Oryctolagus cuniculus: one gene and its partners. The protein of the gene in region 1 interacts with the protein of each later gene in a pairwise test. Links are inferred from orthologs where the notes say so. Each region holds a gene or a part of one and is shown in the gene's direction. Other genes may lie near its edges.

What was found.
Region 2: the proteins of UBE3A (region 1) and YWHAZ interact in a two-hybrid assay, tested with the Homo sapiens proteins (2 studies listed by BioGRID and IntAct, with this or other methods). The link is inferred for Oryctolagus cuniculus from reciprocal best matches to the Homo sapiens genes UBE3A and YWHAZ.
Region 3: the proteins of UBE3A (region 1) and TAT interact in binary tests that used the Homo sapiens proteins (3 or more experiments, as listed by UniProt). The link is inferred for Oryctolagus cuniculus from reciprocal best matches to the Homo sapiens genes UBE3A and TAT.
Region 4: the proteins of UBE3A (region 1) and UBQLN2 interact in a two-hybrid assay, tested with the Homo sapiens proteins (2 studies listed by BioGRID and IntAct). The link is inferred for Oryctolagus cuniculus from reciprocal best matches to the Homo sapiens genes UBE3A and UBQLN2.
Region 5: the proteins of UBE3A (region 1) and MCM6 interact in binary tests that used the Homo sapiens proteins (3 or more experiments, as listed by UniProt). The link is inferred for Oryctolagus cuniculus from reciprocal best matches to the Homo sapiens genes UBE3A and MCM6.
Region 6: the proteins of UBE3A (region 1) and JADE1 interact in a two-hybrid assay, tested with the Homo sapiens proteins (3 studies listed by BioGRID and IntAct). The link is inferred for Oryctolagus cuniculus from reciprocal best matches to the Homo sapiens genes UBE3A and JADE1.

Annotation. Positions count from the first base shown.
Region 1 is NC_091443.1:14,371,545-14,376,975, reverse strand, and holds the start of UBE3A (ubiquitin-protein ligase E3A), read left to right. Parts: upstream 1-1,917; 5' UTR 1,918-2,022; coding exon 2,023-2,042; exon of another isoform or gene 2,043-3,863; intron 3,864-4,534; exon of another isoform or gene 4,535-4,673; intron 4,674-5,431. UniProt on the Homo sapiens protein: E3 ubiquitin-protein ligase which accepts ubiquitin from an E2 ubiquitin-conjugating enzyme in the form of a thioester and transfers it to its substrates.
Region 2 is NC_091437.1:126,360,057-126,365,438, reverse strand, and holds the start of YWHAZ (14-3-3 protein zeta/delta), read left to right. Parts: upstream 1-2,073; 5' UTR 2,074-2,214; intron 2,215-2,888; exon of another isoform or gene 2,889-2,934; intron 2,935-4,987; 5' UTR 4,988-4,998; coding exon 4,999-5,292; intron 5,293-5,382.
Region 3 is NC_091449.1:55,670,539-55,675,868, forward strand, and holds the start of TAT (tyrosine aminotransferase), read left to right. Parts: upstream 1-2,195; 5' UTR 2,196-2,349; intron 2,350-3,334; exon of another isoform or gene 3,335-3,358; 5' UTR 3,359-3,370; coding exon 3,371-3,605; intron 3,606-3,757; coding exon 3,758-3,862; intron 3,863-5,330. UniProt on the Homo sapiens protein: Transaminase involved in tyrosine breakdown. Converts tyrosine to p-hydroxyphenylpyruvate. Can catalyze the reverse reaction, using glutamic acid, with 2-oxoglutarate as cosubstrate (in vitro).
Region 4 is NC_091453.1:39,986,534-39,991,731, forward strand, and holds the start of UBQLN2 (ubiquilin-2), read left to right. Parts: upstream 1-1,910; 5' UTR 1,911-2,594; coding exon 2,595-4,472; 3' UTR 4,473-5,198. UniProt on the Homo sapiens protein: Plays an important role in the regulation of different protein degradation mechanisms and pathways including ubiquitin-proteasome system (UPS), autophagy and the endoplasmic reticulum-associated protein degradation (ERAD) pathway.
Region 5 is NC_091434.1:107,465,897-107,470,527, forward strand, and holds part of MCM6 (DNA replication licensing factor MCM6), read left to right. Parts: intron 1-696; coding exon 697-807; intron 808-1,982; coding exon 1,983-2,232; intron 2,233-4,631. UniProt on the Homo sapiens protein: Acts as a component of the MCM2-7 complex (MCM complex) which is the replicative helicase essential for 'once per cell cycle' DNA replication initiation and elongation in eukaryotic cells.
Region 6 is NC_091439.1:35,931,792-35,936,855, reverse strand, and holds the start of JADE1 (protein Jade-1), read left to right. Parts: upstream 1-1,568; 5' UTR 1,569-1,672; coding exon 1,673-1,742; intron 1,743-4,050; coding exon 4,051-4,128; intron 4,129-5,064.

The DNA of each region.
Region 1 (5,431 bases):
ATTTTAACTTTCTTATTTTTGTGTTTATAAGATGTGAAGTTAGTGTTATTTGTATCTTCCAGATCACATACACTATTAGTTTCATCAACACTTAAGAGGAAACTCACTATTTTGACTCCATTCTTCATTTCAGGAATGCTGTTGCTTCTTTCTCATGTGACTTCAGTAATACATAGGTTCTTAATAAGACATGTAATTATGTCAGTCAAATTTAATTACAAGGTACTTCAAAGAATTAGTGGGAAATGGAATTAAAAGAAGTTTGTTTTGGTGCAGAAGTTTGTTAATTCCATGTATACTTTTTTCCTAATTCACGTTTTTCATGAACTTTTAAAGACTCCCCTCATTTCCTCATAATGATTGGATGTCAAAATATTTTGTACCAATTTTTGCTTATCTTTTAAATCCATTTTCCATGAACTTTTTGAAGTATTCTCATCTTTTTATAGTGATTGTAAGTCTTATTTATGGGCATTTCCTGAGATTATTTACATATACTCAGACAACTCCTCACCTTCATCTGGATTTAAAGCCCTGTGTTCATAGCTATGGAAGTACAGGCTCAAGCATTGATGTGTCAGCACTTCTCTATGGGTTCTCAGATACCTTGATGTTTTTTATTTGGCTCTGGGTCCATGCTGGTAACTGCCTTCTGTGCTTGTCTGTTGTTAGTTTGAACGCATTAATTATGAAAGATCATTCCCTTCTAATTTTCTCATCTTCCCTTAGTTGCTCCTCAGATAGTGCCTGAATAATGCAGTTCAGTAGGGGAATTACAAGAGGAAAAACTAATAGTTTGAAAGGATCTCTTGATACAAGGCTATATCACATGTATGCTGTGCTTGCCAAAACCTGTAGTATAATTAAGGAGATCTGCAAAATTTGGACCATGACAATTAGGAAAATTTAGCTGAGGCCACCTTAAAAGGGGGTAAAAGATAACTTGGTTGAAAGGAGGATATAATTTCATAGTTTTATCATAATCTTTCATGAAATTGAATCTAATGAGTTTGACTGGAAAGACTAGGACGTATTTTCATGCAGTAACCAAGGAGTTTTGGCTAATGTGTGGTGAATCTACGTAAATATGGAATAAGTAACACTTTGGTTTGTATATGTGCGTGTGTATGTATATAACTATTTCTTTAAACATTTTCATTTTTGGTGATTTGTTTTCTTCATCTGTTTAAGAACCCTATCACTAAAATGTGTCATATTGAACCTGTTGCCATAATTTTGAGGTCTCAATCCATGTCCTAATTTTTTTGCTCTTACATTAAGTAGCGAAACTAAACCAAAATAAAAATTCAGCCTCCAAAATCCAAACTTCTTTATTCAGTAAATTTGCATTTTATTACTAGTTTCAGCACTAATTCTAAAATCTTGGGCAAGTCAGTTAATCACTCTGAGGCTGCTTGATTTTTTAAAGTTCTTATGTATGAAATAGCTTTATTAGTTAGTCAAGTTGTCTTGAGATTCAAGGTAATTACCAAGCAGAGTGCTTTGTAAACTCATAACATTACACAGAAGTAGAAGGTATTATCACAGATTGAGTTTCCTTTGTCTGAAATAATTGAGACCAGAAATGCTTTATTTCTGAGTTGTTCGGATTTTGAATACTTGTATAGACTTTATTGGTTGAAAAATTCTATAATTTGAAAATCCAAAATGCTCCCAATAAGCCCTCAGATTATTTAGGAGCATTTTGGATTTTCAGGTTAGGGATGTTCAACCTATACCATGTTTTCTCAATGAAAATATCATTTAAGAAAACAAAATGCTGAAGAATAGTTCTTTGTAGTAATTATTCTTCTGATGAATTTTGCATTGACACCTAATTTAAAGTTTCAAATTATTATTTGAACAATGAATTGGATTTATATATTAAAGTGTTCTAACTAAAGATTTGTTTAATTTATTAGAGTTATTAAGCCTACGCTCAGATCAAGTTAGCAGCTAGACTGGTGTGCCAACCTGTTTTTAATCAGTGACTCAAAGCTGTGATCACCCTGATGTCACCGAATGGCCACAGCTTGTAAAAGGTAATTTTGAATGTTATGTTAGAGCCTTTAAAAGGCTGCCATTGTAAAGTGAAATACATGCTGTAAAAATGGAGAAAATGTGTAGTTGGCAGAAACACTGCCAAGAATAGTGGACCTAAGAGTTGATTTATTTCTTCATTTAGTCTCATTCTGAAATATTTATTTTTTTCCCCTCATTCAGAATATCAGTAGCCACCACTGAAGACTTATCTGTGTGGATAAACAGGAAAGCATTTCTCAAAAAATTTCAAGTTGTAACATATAAACATTTTATTATATACATTGTAAAGGAGATTTGTAATATTTCTTAATAAACATTTTAAAGTGTGTCTTTTACGTGGTGGGTGTTTTAATTAAGATACGTTTCTAGAAATTTTTATAACTTTAATAAAACTAGTATACTTTTCTCTCCTAGAGAGTTACAGTGGAGGTAAAAGGAGTGGCTTGCAGGATGGAGAAGCTGCACCCAGTATTATTGGAAGTGAGCCACCGTTTGAATTTGCTAGCTAATGCTGCAGTATTCAGATTAGTGGGTGTTTTGTGATCATACTTTTTGCTATTCAAATCAAGACTTAAAATTGAGACTTTTCTAAGCTGTATTTTCTATTTTTTTAATACTACTTAGTTATGGCTTCGTTTTTAAAATTTTCTTTCTGCTTTGTTACTCTGCTGGTTTAAGATAACAATGGCTTTTTTTTTTTTAATTTAGTAAAATTATGAGCACATAGTGGATTGTAACTCCCAACATCTTAGCAGTAAAGAATAAATAAGCTCTGAAGGAGCCAGAGTAGAGTGTGGGAACTGTTGTATAAGGGGGCCTTAAAAAAATTCATGTCCTGAAAAAAACATGTAAAAATTTAAAAGTTTTTCTGTATCAAAATTGTAATTCCATTTTTCCACAAAGTTTTTGAAGTGCCTTTGTGTGTTTCATAGTTTGAAGAGTTTGTATCCTAACTTTAGGATAATTTTTGGTAACTTTAAAATATTATTGAAATGTTTAAGCAAGATGACTAGAAATTTATTGAGAAATGGATCATTAATACTGCAAGAAGAGTGTTTATTCTCTGTATATTCATTTTTCTCTCGATTTAAAAAACATTTCCTATTTGAATAGAAAGTAATATGCTATATATGAGACCCAGAATAGATTTATTTTAAGGAAAATTTTTCAATTTTTTCTTATTGTTTTGTTCTTTTTCTAGACTGGATTGGTTTAAATTATTTGGTTTGACTCATAGACGGTTTTTAGTAACTCACTTTAACATACATAGATATTAAGTAATTATCTAGTATAACAATAGTGACATTTTGATACAAGTGATCACATACTGTTTAGGGGAAAGAAATTGGGAAAAATTGATGTTGAACTTTATCTCTGTCCTGTTTCAGAATCTCAAGACTTTGCAGCCATTATATGTTTTACTTTAAGGTTTGAGCTTGTTTTCCTTTTTGGCTGTGTCTTTCCTTTTTTTGCAGTACTATTTTAATTTTCCTATCATTAAGTCCCATTTTTCCCCTCACCTTGCCCTGATAATTTTTAGAGTTTGATACCTACATGTTTGAAAGCTTCTAATCTGCCCGTCTTCCCTCAGTGCCAGCACGAATTTAGTTTTTGTTTTGCAAGCCAGCTCTGTCTCTTTATAGTATGATATCTGATGCTAGGGGGTCACACTTGGCAAAAATGAATCAGCTGGTACATGGGCATATCATCAGTTTTTAGCTCTTCTGTCTAAAAGATACTAGTTTGGAAGCAATCTTGGGGTACTTACCCCACAAGGCTGGTAGAGACCAGGTGTGTCACAGAGGTGATTTGCTTGATCCCTGGGGAGAGGGTAGAGTGAAATTTTTACATTGTGTAACTTCAAAGTCACTACCACCTCCAGCATGCTCCGGTTTTTAGTTCTTAAACAATTTTCTATAAAATTTAAATATACTGGAAAGATCTAAAATAAATATTTGAGCTGCTGGAGTATTGCGTCCTTCGAATATGAATAGACTACAGTGAGTGTAACTTTGAAACCCTAATAAAAATTTTTTTTTGAAGCCCATAAATTTGGGGAACATTTTCTTCTAATGACTCTGATTTTAAAATTCTTTTAAGTTTTTTTTTTTTAAGTTGGATATCTGAAGTCTGATAAATTCACAAATCAAGTCCTTATAGTACCAATTTGATATACAGGTTTTGACTTCAAAGAAAATTTTTTTAACCTTTATTACGAATTTGAAACATTAGAAATTGGTATTATGTTGCTGTACATTTTTTTTTTAAATAAATTTGTGTATTTTTTATTTGTAAGAGTAACAGTTTGAGAGAAAGAGAGATCTTCTGTCTGCTGATTTGCTCCCACAGTGGCTGCAATGGCCAAGGCTGGGCCTAGCTGAAGCCAGGAGCCTCATTGAGGTCTCCCACATGGCTGGTAGAGTCTCAGACACTTGGACCATCATCTGCTGCTTTTTCCAGGCCGTTAACTGGGAGCTTGATTGGAAGTAGAGCAGCTGGGACACAAACTGGAACCCATATGAGCTGCCAGCTTTGCAGGTGGTGGCTTTATCCACTACAACACAACACCAGCCGCTGTTGGATTACTTTACAGCAGTGGTTGACTAATGCTGTTTATAAAAATGAATAAGGTAACAGGCTTTTTTTTTTTTTTTATACTGTAATAGTCATGGAAAATATGGGTTTGTGTCCTTCAAAATGAAAGTGAAAACCTTCTTCTTTAGAATTTTCAGTATTTCTACTTTAAATAACAGCAGTACATTCAGAGGTATCAAAGTAATTGACAACTATTTAAAACTGAATTAATTGACAATTATTCAGAGCTAACTTCAGTAGCCCAGGCAGTATACTTCAGATAGGTAGTACATCCTGCTAATATGTTTTTAGAGAGACCTAATTTCATTGTGGAATCAAGATAATCATGATCAGAATGGTATCTCACTGAGGCTGTTAGATTTTAGTTTGTTATTTAGTACAGAGATTGGCAAGCTTTTTTGTTAAGGTCTAGATAATAAATATTTTAGGCTTTGTGGACCATATGGTCTCTGCCACAGAGAGTCACTCTTGCTTTTTAAGAGTGAAATCATCCTTAGATAATACCTAATAGAACTTTATTTACAAAAACAGCTGGTGTCCCAAGCTTTAGTTTGTCTAACTTAGCAGTAGTTTGTTAACCATTTTGAATATCATTTTATTAATATGGATAATCAAAACTGGGCAAAAGATAGCTTCGTAAAATAAAAGCTTGTTTGTTTTTATTATAAATATTCAACTGTAAATAATTATGATTTATAGTGGTTTATCTGTTGGTATCTGACTAATGTTAACAGTTTCCTTTTCTTGAAGATAATGCATAATGTTTTTTATTAGTCCAGTACTTTAAATGTAT
Region 2 (5,382 bases), on another chromosome or scaffold:
TTGGGGAGTGAATCAGCCGATGGAAGACCTATGTCTCTCCCTCTCTCTGTAACTCTGCATCTTAAATAAATAATCTTAAAAAAAGTTTCTCGTGGTATCTTCTGTCAAATTTCAAGTACCTAATACAAAACTGGAAGCAACCTTTTTAAAAAACAGCTTTTGAAAATGCTAGTCATTTTAAGTGAGTTGCTCCCTGAAAGAATTTACTTGGGAGTCAAGGCATGTTCATTTTATTATTTCAAAGAAAAACCTCAATTTTTCCATCCATTCAGCCTACTATGAATCTGTACTGATGCGCAAACCCGGGAAAAATAAGGAGACTCGCATGCGGTCAGCTGTCAGTGTGTTTCGGCTGACTTCCGTATCTGCTGCAGGTCTTTATTACAGGGCTCTACCCATCACATTTTGGAATCAGACATTTTGTCACAGAACCCTCTTGCTGGTCTATTCTATCTAAATGCCAGCTGTTGCTTCTGGCAAAAAGCAACCCAGACTTGAAAGGCCCTGCGGGCCAGACATCATATCCATCAGGTAGAAAAAGACAAGTCCTGGAAGGATGAGGCATCGCCTTGTGCCTACTACCGAGAAATTGAGGCCCAACTCCTCAGGGTCGCGAGTCTCCTGTGTTTGGGGCGGGAGCCCAGTAGCTGCTAAATAAAGGTATTGGGCCAAGGGGCTGTGCACCCAAGGAGGGCACCGCAAGAGTCCCTGACAACCACCAGCCTTCCACGGCTGCTGCGTGGTTTTGCAGGTCACCCGAGCACTGGGCAGTCCTCAGCACTAACACGCGTGCACGGTGCAGGGTGCTGGGCGGGCATCTTCCGCTGTGACTGCAGCTCTCCGCACTTCCTTCCGCCGGCTGGGTGGAGCCGGGCCGCGAGACACCTGCAATTTCCGCTCCTCTGCCCCCTCTCCCTGCCGCCGGGCTGGGTCAGCCGGGGCCCTGGGCACTAGGACTTTGCTCAGATCTAGCCTTCGGAGACAAAATGGCTATGACCTTTATGTTCTATAGCCAAGTCTGATTTGGTAGGGGGGAAAAAAAACCCAAACTACCCAACGGGAAAGGCAGCCGTTTCGTGTGCTGGCGTCCACCTAAGCAGCCGGCCTCTCCCGCTCGGGAGCGAGGCTTTCTGAGAGTGACCGCGTCTCCGCCAGGCCGTGCCTGTCGCCCCCGCCTCGGCGCCCACCCATTGTCCTCTCGCCGCTGTCACCGGGCGAGGATCCCAAGCTCCCGATTGGAAAAGCTGCCCGTCACTCAGCCACACTTAGGGGCTGGTCGCTCCGTCCTCTTTTCCGAACCTTAAAAGGTCTAAGGCCTCTTCCCCCGCGCCGACAGGTAAAGCGGCGGCCGTGGCCGCGGCAGGCAGGCGCCGCGCACCCAGGTCCGCCCCGCCCTGGGCAGCCGCGGGCGCACGGCCGGGCGGGGTCCTGCGGGGAGCGCGCCGCACGCGGCCCCGCCCTCGCCCTGCCCCTTCCCCCAAAAGCCGCTCACAATGCCCGGCCGCCCCAGCCGGCCCCGTAATCCAGCCCTCGGACCGCCCTACGGCAGTCACCACCGCGAAGCACGGACCCCGGACCCCGGGGCGGGCCAGGCCTCAGGGCGGGGGCGGGGGGGGTGGGGGCGCGAGCGAAAGGTCCCGGATGTTGCTGAAGCGGAGCCCCTTCTGAAGAGGGAGTGATTGGCGCAGGCGCAGGCCAGGTCGAACGCTGAAGTGGGGGTGGGGACACATTTTCTTCCCGTAGGATTAGCGGAAGGGAGAGCCGGAGGATAGGGGCGGGGGGGGGGGGCGCGGCGTCCGAGAGGAAGACGAGGAAGCGGGGTGGCGGTGGGGAGGGAAGTACAGCAGCTTCCTGCCCAGGCGCACTCGGGGAACGAGTAGACAAGGTGGAAGCCGAGCGCCGGTCGCGGGGCGAGGACGCGCGCTCCTTCGCTCGCCCTCTAGCGCGGGCGGGTAGGGCGCGCGCCGGGGAGCGGCGGTTGCGCTAAGGCCCCCGGAGCTGTGGGCACCAATCAACGGTTGCCATAGCAGCGTTTGACGTCATCGTGCGTGTGGTGCCCCTGCTGCCGGGGCTGGTGATTGGAGGAAACCCCGTGTCTGCGGAGCGGCTGTAGCCTGTGAGCAGCGAGATTCAGGGACAGAGTCTCAGCCTCTCCGCCGCCGCCCAGAGCCCGGTGAGCCTCCGTCCGTCTGTCGGCTCCTACTCCGGACACAGGTAAGGGACCCGGCCGCAGCCGCCTCGCCCCCGGCCGGCCCTCGGAAGGCTTGGGAGCCGACCTCGCCTCCGCGGCCCCATCGGCCCGGCCGTCGGGCGGTAGCGGCGCGGAGCTGAGGCGGAGTCTCCTCAGGCAGACACGGGCGGCGGCTTCTCTTCCGCAGGACTCGGGCGGGCGGCTTGCGGCCGCCTCCGGCTACATGTTTCCGGGCCAGTGCCTCGGCCCCGATCGGCGCCCGCTCCCCTCTCTGGATCCCCCGGGTGTGTGGGGGGGGATGGGAAAGGCGCCCCCGACACGAGATCCCCGGGGATCCCCCGGCCGCCGGCTCCCCACGGCTGCCGAGGCGCGGCCGAGGCGCCCCGGCCGCGTTCCGTCCCCACCCTGGCCCGTGCGTCCCCGCTTCCGCCCGGGAGAATGACTTGGCGGCCGCGGCGGGCATTGCAGTGGCGCAGGTGAGGCCGCCCCCTCCCCGATCCGGTTCCCCGGCTCGCCCCCTCCCCCGCTCCCGGGCGCAGCCTCCGCGCCCCGCGGTGCGATCGCCCTCCCCCACCCGGGGCGCGGCGCGGCCGGGAGGGGCCGGGGCCGCGGGGACCGGGCCGCCGCGCTCGGCGCTGCCCCACGTCGGGCAGGGCGAGGCCGCCGAGGGCCAGCCGGCGTGGGGAGGGGCCGGCCCGGGACCGGCGGCGGCGGCGGCGGGAGGAAGGACTTGAATTTTCCCGGTTGGGATGGGGGAGGGGACTGGTTCTTTTCTACTTGTGGTGGGGCGGGGGTGGCGCGGGGGAGCTCCGGGCCCAGGTCGGGTAGGGGAGGTGGGGGAGACGGCGCTCGGCTGCTCTCGCTCTCCGGCCCCCCCCCCCCCCCCCCCGGGCTGGAACCAGGGGCCCTGATCCTGCTTTGCGGGCCCCGAGCGTAACAGCCGGTGGTGGCCTCGCCGGGCTGGGTGTGGCTCTCCGCCCCCTCCCCCACCTGCTGCAGCTGTCGGGTCCTTGGACTCTGGATGGGCATCGGTGGCGGGGAAGACGCGGGGTGGGAGAGCGGGGTGTGTCCGCGGCCGAGCTGGTAGTGGTTCCGCTTCTGCGGGCGGTGCTGGCGTCTCGGTCCCCGGGTCGGGCGCCCCCCTCCACTTGGGCGGGGGCGCGGGCTGCTCCGCCCTCCTGCTCTGGGCGGGGGGTTAACACTCGGCGGTAGGTTGGGCTCCTTGACACAGATCCGCCATGACAAAGAGGGAGAGTCGGCGACTTGTGCGAAGGCACCGGCTTGGGCGGGGCCTAGGAGGAGGGGTGGTTGCGGATTGCGCGCACGGAGGCTTTGCACTTTAAAGTCACGGTCTGCGGGTTTGCGTTGCACCCTCCCCGACGCCTGACGCCGCGGAAGGGTTAAATGGGTGCGGCGAGTCATCTCCATATAGAGGCGAGGCCTTGGAGCACTAGTTACTCCGAGAAACCTAATCCACTTCCCCTTGTCCCGGAGGGGTTGTAGAGGAAAACCTTTGTATTGGTTTTAAGCCATTTTTCTTTAGAAGCAATATTAAGCAGAAAATGTTTGGCGATTTTATGGGAAGGGTTATTTTTGAAGAACCGAGAAGAAATGTTCGATGATAAATGTTAACTATTTTGCACATTGAGATGGCCCTCCTCGCATACGCTCTGGCCAGTTTCCTTTTGAGTTTTTAAGCAGTATGGTGGGGTTTCCCTGGGAAGATAAAGAATGAGATATTGGGAAGTCAGTTCCCCTGGGAGATGACAGTGGCCCTTCCGTCCCCCGTTTTAATCTAATAGTACATTTCATTTCAGGCTCTGTGTGTGCTTTTAAATCCTTTGTTCTGTGGTATCACAGTACGGTGTAGTACCTTTCTCTGCTGTTGAGCACCGTCTGAAAGGCTATCTTATAAGATAAATGCAGTGGAGGTAACCTGAAAAGTACGGGGAACCTTAAATGAGGGAAGGAGAGCTAGGGGAAAGGGCAGCTTGAGTGATAACATCTCATTAAATTGTGAGTACTAGAAGCGGTGCAGTAATTCTATTTTGAAACTGGAACGGGGACATTGGAAACGCAGATGCTTCCAATGTGATGAATTTTACTGCTCTCGGATGGAATTGAAATGAAAGGGACCCTTGGGCCACTTTGTGAAGCATGTATGCACATAAGAAGGTATAAAGGAGGCCTTAGGGTCAGTTAGAGAGTGATCCTTGGTGATGGCTTTATATTCAGAATATTTTAAGAATGAGCAATTTGTGTGTTCCAGAAATTGTCATGCTGTGATCAGCTGGCAAATGTTGCTATATTGGGTGGGAGTGACACCAACTAAATTTAATCATCCCTGATCAGAGTAAGTATTAGGAAAGAAAAAAGACATGGACTGTGGTTCTGGAGATAGGGATGACGGTAGTGGCACTGTTCTTTGTTTGCCTTGTTTTCATGAAGGAGGAGAAGCTGTTCTAATTTTGGGTCTCATGATAGAGATTTTTGGTCAAGTGAGATAAGGGGTAATTTTAAAAGGCAGCCTTTTGACCAAATGTGCAAAACTGGTGTTCCTTGCTGTGAATTTCCCTCTCCATTGTTGTTGTGAGTTTTTTTTTCCCTGTCGTGACCATCCTTTTGTGAGGCTGCATTTGAATTCCTCCAGTGAACAGTCTTTCACAGACACTAGGTTTGAAGTGTTGATATAACTTACTTACCACAGGTAGAATTTTCATTCTCTTTATTTTGATGGGAGAGAAAAATGTCTAAATACTGTTGTTGTTTTTTCTTTTTTTTTTTTTCCTCCTGCAGAACATCCAGTCATGGATAAAAATGAGCTGGTGCAGAAGGCCAAACTGGCTGAGCAGGCCGAGCGGTATGATGACATGGCAGCTTGCATGAAGTCTGTGACCGAGCAAGGAGCTGAGTTATCTAACGAGGAGAGGAATCTTCTCTCGGTAGCCTATAAAAATGTCGTAGGAGCCCGCAGGTCATCTTGGAGGGTCGTCTCAAGTATTGAGCAAAAGACCGAAGGTGCTGAGAAAAAACAGCAGATGGCTCGAGAATACAGAGAGAAAATTGAGACCGAGCTAAGAGATATCTGCAATGATGTACTGGTGAGGACAAAACTTTGTCTTTTTTTTATTATAATGTAGAATTACTGTAATGTGTATCAATGTTACTCACACCTTTCTTTGGTTTTACTT
Region 3 (5,330 bases), on another chromosome or scaffold:
AGGTTTCCTTATAGAAACTTTCAGGATCTGAGCCCTGGGAGTCTTAGCTTTTAGTGTGTCATAGGCTCACAGGAACTTGGGATTCCTGTGTGGACCTGGTGCTTTGCTTTTGTTTCCTGTGGATCTCACCTGCCATCTTGTTTTTCCAATAACTCTAGAGTACATGGTGAAGCAGATTTCACACACAGAATGAGGCTAAAGTTGCACAGGTCTTGGCTGCCTTGGAGACCCTGAACTGATAAGGTGTTAGTTGAAGGGATCCTCAGCTGCCCAGTTTGTTGTAACTGGAGTCCAGTGCTTTGTGGGCTGGCAAAGAAAGGAGTCTGGACGTAGGAAGTTAAAAAGCATGTTGCCAACAAGGTGCAGAACCTGATCCCACCTGTGTTTTGGAAATCTGTAAAGTTATGGATGTATGTATGCATCCATATGTATCTGTGCCCATCCATCCATCCATCCAGCCACCCACCCATCCATCTTGGATAGATAGAAAGGATCAAATTGTTACCACTGCTGAACCCTTGGAGTGAGAATGGAGTGTTCAGGCAGCAAGTACAAGGAAGGACTCTAACTTTTTACTTTGTGTTTCTGTACTGTTAAAATTTTAATAGGTTGTTTTCTAACAACAACAACAACAACATTTAATAAAAATTATTGCGTGTAATCCTTACTCTTTGACAGTCTGTCCAAATGGGGTCAGCGCTTTGGCTTAGTGGGTAAAGAGGATGTCTGCAGTGCTGGCATCCCATATAGGTGCCAGTTTGAGTCCTGGCCGCTCCACTTCCATTCCATCTCACTGCTATGGCCTGGGAAAGCAGTAGAAGACGGCCCAAGTGCTTAGGCCCCTGCACCCATATGAGAGACCCAGAAGAAGCTCCTGGCTTCAGATCGGCTCAGCTCCAGCAGTTGTGGCCATCTGGGGAGTGAATCATTAGATGGAAGACCTCTCTCTCTGCCTCTGCCTCTACCTTTCTGGAACTCTGCCTTTTAGATAAATAAATAAATCTTAAAAAAAAATAGAAAAGAGAGGGAAGAGATGTGCAATTCGGGACATGCTCAAGCTGACTTACCTCAAACAGTAGAGTTAGAAACATACCAGGGGATTCCAATTCAATCCCATCAAGGTGGCATGTACCAATGCCATCTCACTAGTCCCAGTGATCAATTTCAGTTCACAATTGATCATAATGATAGGACTAAGAACCAAAGGGATCACATAAACAAAAATAGTGTCTGCAAATACTAGCTGATAGAATAAAAAAGGGAGAGAACGATCCAACATGGGAAGTGAGATACACAGCAGACCCATAGAATGGCAGATGTCCTAAACAGCACTCTGGCCTCAGAATCAGCCCTTAAGGCATGCGGATCTGGCTGAAATGCCCATGAGAGTATTTCAGGCATGGAAAGCCAAGACACTCTGGCAAAAACAAAACAAAACAAACAAACAAACAAAAAACACCTAAATGAAAGGTCTCCGCGAGTGAGATCCCAGTGGAAAGAACAGGTCATCAAAGAAGGAGGTACCTTTCTCTGAAGGGAGGAGAGAACTTCCACTTTGACCATGGCCTTGTCTAAATATGATCAGAGTCGGTGAACTCAGGGGGCTTCCATAGCCTTGGCAACTCATGACAAGAGCCTAGGGTGATTACTGAGGCCATAAACAAGAGTGTCAATTTGTTAAGTCAACAACAGGAATCACTGTGCACTTACTCCTCATGTAGGATCTCTGTCCTTAGTGTGTGTACATTGAGATTTAATGCTATAACTAGTACTCAAACAGTATTTTTCACTTTATGTTTCTGTGTGGGAGCAAACTGTTGAAATCTTTACTTAATGTATGCTAAACTGATCTTCTGTATATAAAAAGAATAGAAAATGAATCTTGATGTGAATGGAAGGGGAGAGGGAGTGGGAAAGGGGAGGGTTGCGGGTGGGAGAGACGTTATGGGGGGGAAGCCATTGTAATCCATAAGCTGTACTTTGGAAATTTATATTCATTAAATAAAAGTTAAAAAAAAAAAAACAGAAAAGAAACTCTGCCCAAACATCTGACAAAGTGCCCACAAAGAGTTAACACAGAGTCCCAGATGTTTGAAGTGAGGACAATTCCTGATTTGAGGGTGAGAGGCAGGTCTAGGGGTGAGAGAGGGGGAGGAAAGGGGCCAAGGGGAGGGTTTAGGCCTCACCCCACCAATAGCATCAAGGTTTTGGGCCCAACGCCCATTTGTGGAGACTATTTCAGGAGTTCAGTTTTGTATCTGAGTTCACTGCTACGGTAACCTGTCAAGCAAGATCTGAGTGAACTTTCAGGTTTGGCACCCCGGAGGCTGCTGCTCCTTAGCTTGAAAGGTAAAATTCTCAGAACAGAGCTGATGTGGTGACGGTGACTGGGTGTTCACCTCTTCCTCTCTGGTGTGTTGACTTCTTCCAGGCAAGATTGTAAGATGCTTAGGGATACGGCTTTGCTTTTGCTAGCAACAGCATTAGCACTAAATTTCTGACAGGGTGGGGTGAGTCCTCCTGGTTCTCTGCAGAGGGCAAGACACAGAATATTGAATTAGTAGGGAAGACGCTTAGATAGGCTCTGCCTGGAAAGTAGCAAACACATGTGTTTTGATTGCTTAGTGATTTAATATCATTCCCTCTTGGTTTTATCAGAGCATTGTTAGGCTTTTATAGGGATTACAGTTGACTTAGCAAATTCCACTTACAGCAAGTCAGCATTCAAATGAATGCTCTCTGAACATTGTAGAGTGGGTTCCTGCTTTATTTTCCGTATCAGGAAAAAGTCTTTTTTTTTTTTTTTTAATTTTTTGACAGGCAGAGTGGACAGTGAGAGAGAGAGAGAGAGAGAGAGAGAGAGAGAGAGAGAGAGAGAGAAAGGTCTTCCTTTTGCCGTTGGTTCACCCTCTAATGGCTGCTGCGGCTGGTGCGCTGCGGCCGGCGCATAGCGCTGATCTGAAGCCAGGAGCCAGGTGCTTCTAGTCTCCCATGCGGGTGCAGGGCCCAAGGACTTGGGCCATCCTCTACTGCCCTCCTGGGCCACAGCAGAGAGCTGGACTGGAAGAGGGGCATCCGGGACAGAATCCAGCGCCCTGACCGGGACTAGAACCCGGGGTGCCGGTGCCGCAGGCGGAGGATTAGCCTAGTGAGCCGTGGCGCCGGCCAGGAAAAAGTCTTAAAGCTCTCCTCTTCTCCTTTATAACAAGGCCACTTTATAAGAGAAGGCAGGAAAAAAAAAAAAAAAGAAGAAGAAGAGTTTGGAAAGAGACTCCGAGTGTAGTCACTCCTATGTTTAGGTCCCGATGTAGCAATCCGGATGGGCCCATCAGCATCACAGGGACTGGCTTTCCCCCAGGTTTTCCTAGTGATGGACCCCTACATGATTCAGACGAATGGCAACAACCACATCCCCTCAGTGCTGGATGTGCATGTCAACTTTGGTGGGAGAAGCTCCGTGCCGGGCAAGATGAAAGGCAGGAGGACCAGGTGGTCTGTGAGACCCTCAGACATGTCCAACAAAACTTTCAATCCCATCCGGGCCATTGTGGACAGCATGAAGGTGAAGCCGAATCCAAGCAAAGCCATGATTTCCCTCTCAATCGGTGAGTGGGGGACACTCGAGGCATGGGCAGCGACGGTCTTCCCCCTGGACTGGTTAAGAAGATGGGAGCAGAGGGTGGACAAGAGTCTGAGTGCAGCACATGGGAGAGTAACCTCTGGGTGGCTCCTTCTGTTTTCTCTCTCCCATGAAAAGGAGATCCTACTGTGTTTGGAAACCTGCCTACCGACACTGAAGTTACCCAAGCAATGAAAGATGCCCTGGATTCAGGGAAATACAATGGCTATGCCCCATCCATTGGTAAGCTCCTCTCCAGATTCCCTACCGAGTGATTTCCAAATCTTTGGTGCATTTATAATAGGACCAAACATCTAGCAATTCATGCATACTTCCTGAGGAGAGGGTAAGATGAAACAGGCCTTGGGATTTGGGGAAACATGAGCCACAAAGGCCCAACTTCTTTCCTGGCTCCTTCTGGCCTGCTGGCACCTTCCCTCTAGGCACCCAAGCAGATTTATCCATCAAATAATGCTCCTCTTACAGCATGACTAATTCTAAGACGATGGCCCTGGGTCTGCTGGAGTCCCTGGCTGGAGTCTTCTAGGCCCTTTATGAATTTACTTATTGGCCTATGTAAATAGCTCCTTTGACTTATTTCTTTCTATCTTGAAAGCCTATTTTCATTATGATCCTGATAACACTGAAATGTAATTTGTTACTCTTTAGGATTAAAGAGGACAAGAACAACAAAGAAGGGCTGACATATTGAAGGAAATAAATTAATGCTGATAGAAATTATTTCTATTTAGGTTTGATTCTCTCCATCTATTGACAATTTCTACTCTATAAAGATTTTGGTAAAATACGTAATTCTATGACTTTGTTTCAGTGTTTCACATTTTTGCCCCTTTGTGTAAATGTGTGCAGAAAAACATTCTTATTGCAAGATAAAAACCCAGATTCATGCTAAAATCAAATTTTAAAACTACTTACAGAGGAATCAGGGACATAGTTTTTAGATTGATATGTTACACTTTATAAAGTTTCAAAACAAAACTCAAAATCAAGACCAAGTGTTAGGTTATAAAGAAAAAACTCAATGATTCTAATATCCTAAGTATTGAGAAACTGATTCAACCTAAAATATCAAGACTGACTCTCTGTTTGACAAATGTGCAAAAGGTATGGCAGAGATGACAATATATATCTGGAAAAATGTTTTCCTTCATTAATAACTAAGGATATACTGATTTATATAATTTCAAGAGGCCTGTTGGCACCTAACAAGCATTGTGAAATACCACCCATGACCTTGCTTTTTGGCTTTTCTAACTTGTCTTTTTGAACAGCAATTTTACAAAATATTATAATGGACACAAAACTGACAATAATTTAATCTTATAAGCATCCACTAATAAATCTCTTACAGGAGAATAATTTGAAAGAAAAAATGTGTACCAAATAGTTGTGATATATTACATAATGCAAAAAACTCAAAATAGATCACATGTATTGAGTGCATTTAATGACAATTTTAAAAAAATATATAGTCTCTCCAAGAGATTTAGGAATAATCTAAATCCTTTATTTTACAGAGGAAAAAACAGTAATCAAGATGACGCAGAGTATTTTATCGTTTGGGGAGTTCTTGTTATTCTTTACATGTCTGTGTTTATAATAGAGTTGTAAAATACAAAATGTACTGCTAATCTACAGTGGTTGGGATGGAGCCAAATGTTAGGTTATTAAAAAAAAAAACCTTAATGAT
Region 4 (5,198 bases), on another chromosome or scaffold:
GCTTAACATGTTGTGCCACAATGCCAGCCCCTTATTGTCATTATTTTTATAAATTCCTTTTAATAACAACTTTAATTTGCACTTTGTTCAGTTTTCAATTTCGTTTTAATTTTCATGTGGTTGAATTTTTCATTCACTTTCATTATATAATCCAACTTTATTCTGTTGAAATTAAAGATGATCTGTGATGTTTTCTTAATTTTCTCTCCATTTGTTGAGAAATTAAAACTATGGAAAGTAAAATAGTATGAGAGTACTTCCAAAAGTTCATGGAAAATGGAACTAAAAGATATTTATTTTTGCCATAATTGATGCATAGTTTTCACATGATACATATTTTCCATCAACTTTTGGAAAACTCTTCAAATTATAATTCTCAATTTCCCAAAATCTACAATCAACTATTGCTGACATTATGGCATATTTTCTTCCATTTTTGAAATAAAATGAGTTTTTACAGATTTAATTAAAATTCCCTTTAATCACTCTTCCGCATCCTTTTTCATTTCCTCTTCCATATGGGTGGAAGTTTGGAATAAATCATTGTAGTATATTTCTAATAGAACATTTCCCATATATGTGAGTGTTTCTATAAACACCATAGACCATGGTTTGGAATGTGCTAATAAATTAGGTTTTTTATTTTTATACATATATTAATATATTAAAATAAATTTATTATTTTGATTTTGTATCATATTAATCATACTCTATTATTAATTGATGGCTACCACATACCTTTATTTTTCTAATCATGATATATTAAGGTGTTGGTGACCCAGTGATTTTGACTTGCTGTTAAAAGTTCCCTAGATACTTAAAGGCAGAACTATTTTGTCTGTGGTCCTAACCAGGGTTAGAATTACATACATAAATTTGTATTTCTTCTATTATTCAATTTCTCTTCATCAGCACTGCCACATCTTTACTTAGTTTAATCTTTAATGAAAGGAAGTAAATATGTTAATATCTGCCATTACTATTGTGTATTTATCAATTTCAACCTATACTCTTTCTCCAAAATATATTTCTGATTTAAACAATTATAAATAAAGTGCATACTTATAAAAATCATCTGAAAATTCAAAATCTTTTAAACGCAAATTAAGAATCATTGACAATTGAAGCACTCAGTAATAACTACCATCATTAACATATTGGTGTATAGCCTGTAAAGTTTTCCTTTTTTTACATGCATTCATGCATGCATGCAACCAGTCTAGATATACAACTAATTGTCAAATATTAGTTCTAAAATAATTTATTGTATTTTTATATTTAGATATACATGGTTGTACAGTTTCTAACATACAGAAATATATAAAGCCAAAAGCAAAAACACTCTGAAATTTTCCCTGTAAGTATAGTTTATTTCATATACAACTTTAAGGAAATTAACCACCTGTGTTTTAAAGATAGCAAATATTACTTCATTATATAATATAATGTGCTTGACTGGTCCCCTGTAAACAGAGTACTTTAAAATGTTTAAATAATATTTTTAAATGGTGCAGTTCTTATCCATATAATACATATTTTTGCATCCTTATCCAATTGTTTTAAGATGTCTGTAGATGAGAGATTTCTAAATAAAGGTGGTAGAAGCATTTTAAATGTTAATGTTTATTTTCAAATTGTTCTATAACAATTCACACTTCAACTAGCATGAGAGTGCATTTTTTCAGCTCCCTGTCAATGAGGTTTACCATTATTTTTCTTTTGCCAATACAATAAGCCAAAAGTAGAATTTCATTGTTTTAATTTGAATTTCTTTGATTACTAGTGATTTAATCATCTTTCTTATGCCTAATGGCCACTTACAGGTTTTTAAAATGCAAGCTCTTGCCGGGTCTTCTCCCCTTCCCCCATTGTGGGTGGTCCTCTCTCCTTTTTGCTTTGTCAGAGTTCTTTATTATTCATCTTTTGTCTTTTATATGGGATCGGTTTGATTCATGCTTTCATCCTTTTCCTGCCTTACAGATTGCGAACATATATTCTCCATTGGTCTTTTAATGTCGTTTATAGAAGCTGGTTTCTTCTGCCTCCTCCCTCTCTTCCTCCCTCCCTCCCTGCTTCGCTTCTTGTTTTCTCTTTCATTCTAGTCCTTGCTCTTCTCTTTTTGTTTCTCTCCCCCTTTCCCTTTCTCTCTCCCTCTCTTCCACTCTCCCTCTCTCCCTCTGTTTTCAGGGCAGAAGTTTTTAATTTTGACCGAGTCAGATCTATCAATCAGGGCCTGGCGCCGCGTCAGCAGAGTGGGGCGGGGAGGAGAGCGCGGAGCTGGGGGAGGGGAAGGGGCGGGGAGGAGCGGGCGGAGCGGTTGCGGGAGTTGCTGGGAGTGCGCGCGGTCGGATCACAAGCGGCGGCGGAGGAGGCCCAGAGACCTGAGCGCGGAGACCTCAGCCTGAGGCCTACGCTGAGCCCTCTCTCCACCGGAGGACCAGGGAACCGCAGTTCTCATCACAGAGGTACCGTGCTCCGCGCTCCCCGCCCGGCCCGACTCAGCCCGCTGCGGCGGCGCCTCCTTCCTTCCTCTTTCCCTCGCTGTGTCTCGCCCGCCCGCGCCTTCCCTGCCCGCCTGCGTCACCGCGGCCGCCATGGCTGAGAACGGCGAAAGCAGCGGCCCCCCGCGCCCCTCCCGCGGCCCTGGTGCGGCCCAAGGCTCGGCCGCCACACCAGCCGAGCCCAAAATCATTAAAGTCACTGTGAAGACCCCCAAAGAGAAAGAGGAGTTCGCAGTGCCCGAAAATAGCTCGGTCCAGCAGTTTAAGGAAGCGATTTCGAAACGCTTCAAATCTCAAACCGATCAGCTAGTGCTGATTTTTGCCGGAAAAATCTTAAAAGATCAAGATACCTTGATGCAGCATGGCATCCATGATGGACTGACTGTTCACCTTGTCATCAAAAGCCAGAATCGACCTCAGGGCCAGTCCAGTACACAGGCTAGCAGTGCCGCGGGAACTACTACTACCTCGGCGTCGACTCCCAGGAGTAACTCCACACCTATTTCCACAAATAGCAACCCTTTTGGGTTGGGGAGCCTGGGAGGACTTGCAGGCCTTAGCAGCCTAGGCTTGAGCTCTACTAGCTTCTCTGAGCTCCAGAGCCAGATGCAGCAGCAGCTCATGGCCAGCCCTGAAATGATGATCCAAATCATGGAAAATCCCTTTGTTCAGAGTATGCTTTCGAATCCTGATCTGATGAGGCAGCTCATTATGGCCAATCCACAGATGCAACAATTGATTCAGAGAAATCCAGAAATCAGTCATCTGCTCAACAACCCAGATATAATGAGGCAGACCCTTGAAATCGCCAGGAATCCAGCCATGATGCAAGAGATGATGAGAAATCAAGACCTGGCTCTCAGCAATCTCGAAAGCATCCCAGGTGGCTACAATGCACTACGGCGCATGTACACTGACATTCAAGAACCGATGCTGAATGCCGCACAAGAGCAGTTTGGGGGTAATCCGTTTGCCTCGGTGGGGAGCAGTTCCTCCTCTGGAGAAGGTACTCAGCCTTCCCGCACAGAAAATCGAGATCCACTACCTAATCCATGGGCACCACCACCGGCCACACAGAGTTCTGCGACCACCAGCACGACCACAAGCAGTGGCAGTGGATCTGGCAGTGGCTCCAGCAATGCTACTGGGAACACCGTGGCTGCAGCTAATTATGTCGCCAGCATCTTCAGTACTCCAGGAATGCAGAGTCTGCTGCAACAGATAACAGAAAACCCCCAGCTGATTCAGAATATGCTGTCTGCACCCTACATGAGAAGCATGATGCAGTCACTGAGCCAGAATCCAGATTTGGCTGCACAGATGATGCTGAATAGCCCTCTATTCACTGCAAATCCTCAGCTGCAGGAGCAGATGCGTCCACAGCTCCCAGCTTTCCTTCAGCAGATGCAGAATCCAGACACACTATCAGCCATGTCAAACCCAAGAGCAATGCAGGCTTTAATGCAGATCCAGCAGGGACTACAGACATTAGCCACTGAAGCCCCTGGCCTCATCCCAAGCTTCACTCCAGGTGTGGGAGTGGGAGTGCTGGGAACCGCCATAGGCCCGGTCGGCCCGGTCACTCCCATAGGCCCCATAGGCCCTATAGTCCCTTTTACCCCGATAGGCCCCATTGGGCCCATAGGACCCACTGGTCCTGCAGGCACCCCTGGGTCCACTGGCTCTGGTGGCCCCACTGGGCCCAACGTGTCCAACTCTGCACCCAGTGAAACCACGAGTCCAACATCAGAAGCTGGACCGAACCAGCAGTTCATTCAGCAAATGGTGCAGGCTCTGGCTGGAGCAAATCCTCCACAGCTTCCGAATCCAGAAGTCAGATTTCAGCAGCAACTGGAACAGCTCAACGCAATGGGGTTCTTAAATCGTGAAGCAAACTTGCAGGCTCTAATAGCAACAGGAGGCGACATCAATGCAGCCATTGAGAGGCTGCTGGGCTCGCAGCCCTCGTAATTACATTTCTGTACCTTGAAAAAAATGTATCTTATTTTTGATAATGGCTCTTAAATCTTTAAACACACACAGAATTGTGCTTTACTTTGATTTTGATGCTTTTAAATCTGTCTAGTTATAAATCTTAATATGATGCATTTTAAGGTGGAGTCCTTCCCTCCCTCTTTCCTTCTTTTCTCCCTTCCCCCTTCCTACCCTTCCCCATTCCCCTTTCCCTTTTCCCTCTCCCTCTCTTTTCCTCCTGTCTCCATCTTTGTTTTTTTTTCTTTGATTTCCTTCTCTGTTTTGAATGGTGGGGATCAATGCTGTTTCACTCAAAGGTGTTGCATGCGAACACTTCTCTTTATCCTGCATTTATTGTGATTTTTGGAAACAGGTATCAGCCTTCACAGTTGGGTGAACAAGTTTTGTCCTACAGATGTCTGATTTATTTGCATTTTAAACATTAGCCTATGATAGTAATTTAATGTAGAATGAAGATATTAAAAACAAGCAAATTATTTGAAGCTCTAATTTGTGGTACAATATTGCTTATTGTGACTTTGGCATGTATTTTTGCTAGCAAAATGCTGTAAGATTTGTACCATTCATTGATCTTTTTTTTGCTATATTTGTACACAGTACAGTAAGCACAATTGGAACTGTACATCTAGAAATATTGCAGTAGAATATGAGCAGAGAATGTGTAACCAAAAGGAGAAAGAATATCAGAAATATTCTGGAGCT
Region 5 (4,631 bases), on another chromosome or scaffold:
CAGATAAATAAAATCTTTATAAAAAAAAGAAAGGTTGGAAGAATATATACCCTGAAGACTTAGAATCCTCACAAGTGAGGGAGAGAGAGAAAATTAGGTTTAGAGGTAGGAGTGAGTACCTGTGCTAAACTTCCTAAATGAGCTGTCCATCTTTTTTTTTTTTTTCTAGGTCTGTTCCTTAAACCAAGCTACCATAGCTATTGGGGACTTAAGATACACCAGATGAACCAGTCAAGTGAAACATTTCTGCGTGTTTGCTAAATTTCTCCCTTATCCTCATCCATTATCAGTTAAGAATGTAACCAAAAACTACTATATATGCTAGGGCCTGACAACAAATATGAAGTTGTCTTAATTAGATTGTAAACAGCCCTGTGAAAACTCACAGTATTCAGCATCATACTGACAAGACAGATGGTTTAGGTAGAGTTGTGTTGGACAAAGGAGTGACCTTTGTCACTAGAATGTGAGTGCTAAATTACTCAAAGATAAGATAGGTATAGCATTTATCTTTGGTGTTATGTGGTGGGATGGGAGAGGGTTGAAAGAGACTCTTAAACCCAGATTAGATGATAGAAATGTCCTGTACAGTTAAGTCCTAGGGCTTGATTGTGACCAGATGAAATTCCTTAGACTCAGCTGTTGCAAGAGAGATGTAAGATATCTGAGCTATCAGCTGACTTTTTTCTTTTTCAGAGTTTACCCTTACCTGTGTCGGGCCTTAAAAACTTTCGTCAAAGACCGGAAAGAGATCCCTCTTGCCAAGGATTTTTATGTTGCATTTCAAGACCTGCCTACTAGACACAAGTAAGAAAAACTCTTCTTAGAAAAGGAATTCACCAAATAATATTGGTACCATTTAGCTGACAGTCAGAAAATTTGGGAGGTTACACTGATGTGCTATAGCGAGCTGTTTAATATCACACAAATCACATTTGCCTCCTGGGGCCTCAGTTTTTCATATGTAAAATCTTTTGGTTTAGATTTTTTTTTCTACCTAATCATGCAAAAGGTAGATTTCTTGCTGTAAAATTACTTATTCATGCTTGGTAGTGACAAGAATTGAAAAAAATAAAAAGAAAGTACTTATAAATTGATGAATATGGGGGGAGGAATAGTGTTTTGTGTGCACATTTTGTAAACAGATTGGCTTTTTTCTAGTTACACCTGGTTGTACAGAACATTTAGTTTTAGAAAAACATGATTTTCTATGAAGATGGGATGGTAAGTAAAGTGAAGCAGATTCTTATGATTGTTCATTTTATAGCACATTTAAAAAGGGAAGCTTGGGGCAAAAATGAGAAAATAGCACTCAGAACACTTGTAGAGATTTATAAATCTTCTGAATATTTTGTTATCTTAAATACAAAGCTTTCAAATAGTCTTTAGTAATTACGTTAAAAAGATACTATTGAAAGAAATTGAAGTGGTATTTTTGCTCAATCTCGGGTGGCTGAACGCCACTTATCCCTCTAAGAAGTTGGGGGACGCCGACCGCTCGGGGGTCGCGTAACTGAAGTGGTATTTTTGAGAACTAAAACTGCTGAAAATATGTTACGAAATTACCAAGTTTTTCATATAAAATGTATGTGTGAAATAGTTTTTCAACTTCTGAGTATAACATTTTTTCCTTTGATAACTTCATTATGAAAGTAATTAATGATTTCTTAGAAATTGTAGATAAGCAAAAACAGTATATAAAACAAAGCTGAGATTATCCTGTTTGTAATTTTAACTTTATTTGGTGTCCTTTAGTTAGCTTTTCATATTTATTCATCTATATGTTTTGTTGTGAATATGTGTGCACTGTGTAATTTAGGAATAGGGGTGTTGACAAAGAATCGTTTTTTTTCAGTAGTGTCCAAAGAACACTTTGCCTTTTTTTTTAAAGTGTAAATTATCATTGAATTTTCTCATTAGGATGGAAAGATTTCTTAGTTGAGAAATGAATATTTACTAGTGGGATATTTATCTTTAAACAGGATTCGTGAACTCACTTCATCCAGAATTGGTTTGCTCACCCGCATCAGTGGGCAGGTGGTACGGACTCACCCAGTTCACCCAGAGCTAGTGAGCGGAACATTCCTGTGCTTGGACTGTCAGACAGTGATCAAGGATGTAGAACAGCAGTTCAAATACACACAGCCAAATATCTGCCGAAACCCAGTTTGTGCCAATAGGAGAAGATTCTTGCTGGATACAAATAAATCGAGATTTGTTGATTTTCAGAAGGTATTTCTTTCCTTTTCTTTAGACCAGATTCAGTTCTGATTCCCTTTCTGGCCCTTGCAATTAGTTTATTTAGGTAATGTTAAATTCAGTCTTTATGTGAATTATCGTTGAAAGTGACCATAGAGATGTGTGTTTAGTAGTTAAGATTCCTGTGTCCCATACCAGAATACCTGGGTTTGAATCTCAGTTCTGTATCCTGATTCCAGCTTCCTGCTAATGCAGATCTTGGAAGGGAACAGTGATAGCTCAAGTAATTAGTTTCCTGCCCCCCACTTGGGAGAGCTGGATTGAGTTCCTAGCTCCTGGCTTTGGCACCTGGCCTAGTCTGTCATTGTGGGCATTTGGGGAGTGAACCAGATGGGAGCACTGTCTGTTTGTCTCTCTTTCTTCCAAATAAATATGAAAGGGGAGAAAGGAAAGAAATATATTTGTCAAAGAATAAACAGTAGCTATTATGATAATGATGAAGAAGAATTGGAGTTAAGAAAACTTAGGAGAAGTAGCAATATATTAGTATAAAACTTTGAATTGGTTAAAAAAAAAGCATGAGTGAATGGACAGGCTAAGATGGAAGCTATGAGATGATCATGATTGAAGTGTTAAGATCCAAATTGGAGGTCAGCTGAGAGATGATTTCATATGAAGCCTATAGGTGTTTGGATCCTTAAATCTTAGTTGACAAGTTCAGCACTGTCTGTAAGAATTGGAGATACAGCTATATTATTTAAGAGGCAAAGTCCTCATCTCCTGGTTCATTCCCCAAATGCCCAGGATGCCTGGATTGGGCCAGGCTGAACCTAGGATCTGGGAATTCAGTCCATTTGTACTTGATGGGTGGCAGGAACTCAACCACTTGAACCATCACCTGCTACATTCCAGGATGTGCTTTAGCAGGAAGTTGGAATCAGGAGCAGATTCCTGACTTGAAGTCAGGTACTCTGATTTGAAGACCAAACACTGACTCAGATTTTCTTTTCTTTTTTTTTTTTTCTTTTTTTTTTTTTTTTTCCAGGGGAAATTTAATGGGACAGTGTTTAATAAATCTTAACAGGTAGTTTTAGTTGCCTGGGTAAGAAGCGATGGTAGTAAGAATGAAGAGGAGGAGTCAGCATCATGGCTCAGGGTTGAACCACCACCTGTGATGCTGGTATTTCCATATGAGCACCAGTGTGAGTCCCAGCTACTCCACTTCTGATCCAGCTCTATGCTAATGTGCATGGGAAAGCAGTGGAAGATGGCTCAAGCATTTGGGCCCCTGATGCCCATGTGGGAGACCTGGATGGGGTTCCAGATTCCTACCTTCAGCCTGCCACAGTCCTGTCCGTTGGGGCCACTTCGGAAGTGAACCAGCAGGTGGAAGATCTCTTCCTGTCTCTTCCTATCTCTAACTCTGCCTTTCAAATAAATGTATAATTAGAGGTGAGGGGAGATCTTTCATCTGCTGGTTCACTCCCTAAATGGCCACAATGACCAGGGCTGGGCCTTGCTGAAGTCTGCAGCCAGGAGCTTCTTCCGGGTCTCCCATCTTCCATTGTTTCCCTAGGCTTACTAGCAGGGAGCGGGATTGAAAGTGGAGCAGCCAGGACATGAACCAGCACCCATATGGCATGCCAACACCGTGGATCGAGGTGTAACCAACCCACTGTGCCACAGCACCGACTCCAATAAATTTCTAAAAAAGAGAGAGAAGCTCTCAGACCTTGGTAAATTTCTATAGGATATGCAAAGAAGAGAAGCTTTAGCATGGAGAAATGATCAGAGTAAAACGAGTAAAGTTGAATTCTGTTTTTCTTAAGGCAGTTTTCTTAAGCTTAATTTTCTTAAGCCAATCTGATAATTTATAAGAAGCATCAATACTTTAGGAGAGAGTTTATTAAAAGAACATGATGCGGGCCATGTGTTGTGGCACAGCAGGTTGAACCACTGCTTCAAATGCCTGCATCTCATATTGGAGTGCTAGTTCAAGTCATGGCTGCTCCATGTCCAGTCTGGCATTCCTGCTAATGCATCCTGAGAGGCAGCAGATGGTGGCTCAAGTGCTTGGTCCCCTGCCATTATGGGAGACTTGGATGAAGTTGAGGCTCAGCCCTGGTTGTTGGCAGGCATTTGGTGAGTGAACCAGAGGATGGAAGATAACTGTGTGTCTACCACATGATGTGACTGTGAGATACAAAGCATGTGTCTAGACTAGGTCTTGGTTTGGGGGAAAGAACATAACTATAATAAAGGATGTTCTTGGAGCTGACATTTGGTACAGCAGTTAAGAAGCCACTTAGGGGGCTGGTGCTATGGTGTAGAAGATAAGCCGCCGCCTGAAACAGCATCCCATGTGGACATTGGTTTGTCTCAGCTGTTCCGCTTACGATCCAGCTCCCTGCTAATGTGCCCGGGAAAGCAGC
Region 6 (5,064 bases), on another chromosome or scaffold:
CATGGGGCAGCAGGGGGACTTGAAAGAGTCATGCATTATGAGTCCAGGAGCCTTGGCAGTTGGATATAAGGCAAGAAGGGATGTGTGTTATTTTGAGAAATGTATATGAGTGCATTGAAGATTCTGAGTGGGAAGAAGACATGTGGAGAAATAAGCTAAGGCTTATCTGTATGTTGATTATTACGGTGTTTTGTTCCTTTCCCGGCTCCCTCCCTGAGGGGCTCTAGGACTCAGAGTCCTCCCTGGACCCCTCACACGCCTGTTCCTGGAGAGCCCTGTGCTTGTCCTGGTGGCCTCTCTCCTCAGCTACCCCTGAAGCTCTGTGAGGGCAGGAGTAGTGATTTCCCCCGGCACCTCTCAGTCTCTCGGTATTTGGACATTGTGGGATGCATTATATGCTGTTAGGATCTTCTTGCTGCTTTCTCTGGAGTGCTCTGAGTAGCTCTTTTAATTGATTGTTTCTTAATCCTACCACCATTTAGATAGTAGTGAGTGATTGCTTTGGAGGAGTCAGGAAAGGGAGGAACGCACAGGCTCCTTGTGTTCTGGGGCTGGCTTTTTAGTGGACAGATGTTGGCAGCGTGCACTGATCATATTGCACATCTTAAAGGTGGTAACATGCACTTTGATGTTCTGGTACAGTAAGTAAGCCTGGGTGCGATAAATCTTCCGACGTCAGGGTTTAAGTGCATCATAACCCCAGTGCGGGAAAGGCTGTGGTGTAGTTCCCCGGAGGAGCAGAGTGCGGCAAACCTAACCCTCTTTCCTCGTGAACGTCAGGGTACGTGAACATAGAATTCAGCAGAATCTACTTACTTACTTTAAGATTTATTTTATTTATTTGAAAGACAGTTACAGAGAGAGGTAGAACCAGAGAAAGAGAGAGGTCTTCCATCTGCTGGTTCACTCCCCAAATGGCTGCAATGGTTGGAGCTGAGCCAATCAGAAGTCAGGAGCTGGAAGCTTCTTCCAGGTCTCCCATGCAGGTGCAGGAGACCAAGCACTTGACCATCTTCTACTGCTTTCCCAGGCCATAGCAGAGAGCTGGATGGGAAGTAGAGCAACCGGGACTTGAACTGGCACCCATATGGGATGCTGGCACTGCAGGCTGGGGGCTTTAACCCTGTGCACCACAGCATTGGCCCCCGGAGTTTACTTTCTTAGGTGCATAATTTTGTTTGAGAGGGTATTTATGTGTATTTGGTCAGCACTTGAGTTTTTGACTTAATGACTGCTAAAGTGGCTTCTCTGGTAGTTTTGTATGGAAGCTGGAAGGAAAGCATTTTGCTTCCAAAAGATTCTGAGTTCTCCAGTTTTCTATTTAGGTAAGTTTAAACAAAAATAAAGTTTATTTTGAGAGAGAGACAGACAATTTCTATCTCCCCAGATCTTCCAGGTTTCCCACATGGGGGTTGCAGGAGCCAAAGCACCTGGTGTCCCTTGGGGTGCACCTTAGCAGGAAGCTGGAACCCGAACCGGGAATCAGGAGTCGGGGCACTCCAGTGTGGGATGTGGATGTCTAAGCTGCTAGACTTAAGTGCCTGCTCCCCGTGTAGGTAAATTTAAGTCGTCTGAGTCAGTGAAGATTCTGTAAGCCTTGTTTCCTTGTTTGTAGCTGGGAAGTATTTTATGGGCTTTCTCAGCCTCTTATTTCTCACAGTTCTCACGGCTCATGAGGTGGCAAACTGCATGGCTTTTGCTGTGTTGCATCAGGCTGTTACTTTTGAGGAATTCCTCTTCAGGTAGGACTTTTAAAGCTCGCGTGTAACATAGGTTTTGGGGAGCTGGGGCTGTTAGGAATGAGAGGCTTTTGCCTTTCGCTCTTCTCATTGTACCTCCTGTGGCGTCCTCAGGGGAGCAGGAGTGTCTTCTGTAGAAAACTGGAGGAGAGGTTAGCTGTCCTGCAGCCCTTGGTGTTTCTGGCACACAGAGGACAGGGAAGGTGATCATTTCCAGCTGGGAGTGGGTCACTGCTGTTTGTTGCCCTGGGAAGCCTTGGCTTGGAGCAGGCCACCTTGTGTTAGAATTGTGGGTGGGTGGGTTTTAGGATTGAGCCTGCCCTGCTATGAAACCCTGGCCCACCAAGCATGCTCCCTAACATAACTTAAGACACAGGTTGGGACTCGTGTCAAGCTTCCTTTAGGTAAATCTGATGGGTTTTGAAGAATCATCTGAGTGAGTTTTTCAGGAAGAAAGTCAAACTCGGTACTGCAATTCTAGATTAGGGGCTTGAACATGTAAATAAAGCGTGTGGGTTCATGTCATTAGAGGAAACTGTGTTACAGACCTTTCCTGTGCTGTGAATAAAATGATAGAAGAAGCCAGATTCCAGAAGAGCCAAACGAACTTTATTGATGTTGATGTTTTTACTTGCGGGGCTTCATAGACAGGTGGTACAAAACCCAAAAAGGTGATTAGACCTGGGGGCTTACATACAATTTTAGCAAAGAGTGATAAATTGTGAGGTGACTAGACAAAGGAATAGGGAGTTTGGGCTTCCAACGGGGTTAACTTTGGACAGATGCCAAGGAAGTGCACAAGGGAAACTAATGGTAGATAAGGGTTCTTTGTGGGGGGCCCCTTGATAAATGGATATCTCCTTTGCAAAAGGGAAACTTATACCCAGGTTTGGTTGGGTAGGAGGAAGGCAGAGGGCCTCCTGTGCCTGCTATTTAGTTGTCATTTGCCCTCAGCTCAAAATAACCCTTGGACCAACATGGTGTATTTTGATCCTCTTTGGCAGGATGTATTTTCTGCCGTTATTGATGGCTTTTTTCACAGGTCCATTTAGAGTAGAGCTTTTTATTTTTTATTTTAATTGCTGAGTTGTTCCAGCATAGTGTTTCTCCACTATCCTTTGTGCCACACTTTCATTGGAAGCACTGCATAATGCTTGTGATTCCCAGTGAGGAGGATGTTGGGATATACTTCCCTGAGGGTGTGGGTGATGGACTACCAAGCTTTTCTTAACCTGAACAAGTTCCTCATTCTCATTGGGAATCATTGATCGGGCAGTAAGTTCAAGGCTCTAAAGGTGTCAGGATGATCAATAATTTTAGTTTGAAAAAGCTTTTTGGGTTTGTTTAGAGAGCTGTCCTGTGTGACTAACTGCAAGATCATCTGTGTAAGTTCAGTGACTGGCCACCTACTGCCCTGTCAACTAAAAGCAGTCTCCTCTGACTTGAGGGTGGTGCTGTGGCCAGCTACCTGGGAGGAACTGGGCAGGTAGGCTGAGTTTGTGTACACTGATTTCTTAGTTTGGCTGGATTTGATTGTTATCTGTCCTGAAAGGAGTTGGAGTGGAGTGGAGACAGCATTGGATTTAGGGTAAGAAGCTCCCTGTCCAAGAGTGACCTTGGGGAAGCCGCCTCTTAACCTTTCGGCTTTATCTTCCTAATGAATGAGAGGCAGGCATCTGGACCAGAATTTAACACGTGTCTGTGGTCCCATTCTGTTGCGGCTTTGAGTTGCTGAGGGGTTGGGGATAGCTGGGGAAGACACCATTCCCATACCCCATTTGTTTTGTTTCTAGAACTGGGTTATTTGGCTTTTAGGATGATTTTAGCCAAATTTGCCAGAGAAGCGTATTCCTGCCCAGTTCAGTGTAAGCACTCACACGTCCAGGCACAGCCCCACCTCCCCCCACGTGCACACATAAAATATGAATCTGTCTGTAGTGAGGAGGCACAGTGTTCATTGCTGTGGATTTTTTTCTGCAGTGCTTGCCGCCAGTCAGCAAAAGAGACTCTTGTGGAGTAGTTGTAGTAATAATGTCACAGGAATACAGAGAGAAACCTGGCACCCTTGGGAGACCTGCTGATACGTGACTTCTCCACCCCCCCACCCCCACCCTTTTAACTTGGTCTGTTAATGATTACACCTAATTATGTATCTTTGGTCTTTCTTTTTTTCTTTCTGTTGATAATTGAAATGCTGCTTAAAGCCATTTGTTTGCTTTTGTTTGCAGTAAATCCTGGGCTGCCATCTGAAGCCCAACTTGATGATTGTGTATTATCATCTTGGGTTAAGTGCTGTCTCATTGCTTTGCAGGCTGCCTGCTGTTTCCCGGGGAGATCATGAAACGAGGTCGCCTTCCCAGCAGCAGTGAGGATTCCGACGACAATGGCAGTAAGTCCTGCTTTGTTGTTCTTGGAACCTGCCAGGGTCTGGGTCGGTGTAAAAACATGATTTTTTAATGTAATGCTTTAAATAGCTGAGGCCCTTTGCATATGAGGCAGGTCAGAGAAAGCCGAGGCCTGGAGAAACACATCAGAGTGTGGTACTGCAGGTCTGTAACCAGATCTCTCTGAGTAAGGCTGACTGCAGGCAAGCATTCCTGAAGCTTCCTGTTTGTTATCCAGGGATGAATAATCCAGTCCCAAGAGTCACTGGTGTGTCTGTTTTTCTTAAACATCATTTATGGCACTTCACAGTTGCTCTTTACGAAAAGAGAACTTAATCAGAGCAGGGTAATTATTAACTAGTCCAGCACCAGGGGAGATTGAGGACTGCCTGGAATGACAGGAAAATATTAAGTACAGGTTCCTAGTAGGTCTGGAGTCCCTTATCTTCCCTTGGTTTTATTTACTATTTTAAAACATCTGTTTATTTTTTATCTACTTGAAAGGCACAGGGCCAGAGAAAAACACAGAGAGAGACACACATACACACACAGAGACAGATTTTTCCATGGCTGGTTCACTGTCCAAATGCCCACAACAGGCAGGGCTGGGCTAGGCTAAAGCCACAAGCCTGGAACCCCATCCAGGTCTTTTAGAGGAGCAGCAGGAGCCCAAGTGCTTGAGCCATCACCTGCTGCCTCCCCAGGCACATTTGCAAGAAGCCAGGTTGGAAGCAGAGCAGCCTGGATGCGAACTGTTGCTCTGATGTGGGATCTGGGTGTCATAGCGGTGGTTTCACCTGCCGTGCCACAACGCCTGCCTCTTCCTTGGGGTTTCACGTGACTGTATTTCATAGAACTGCTGTCTGCATCCCCGTTCTCTGGCAGCCTCATATTTTCACAGTGCAGCTGAGAACCAGAAGTTAGCTGGCTTTCAGGCAGTC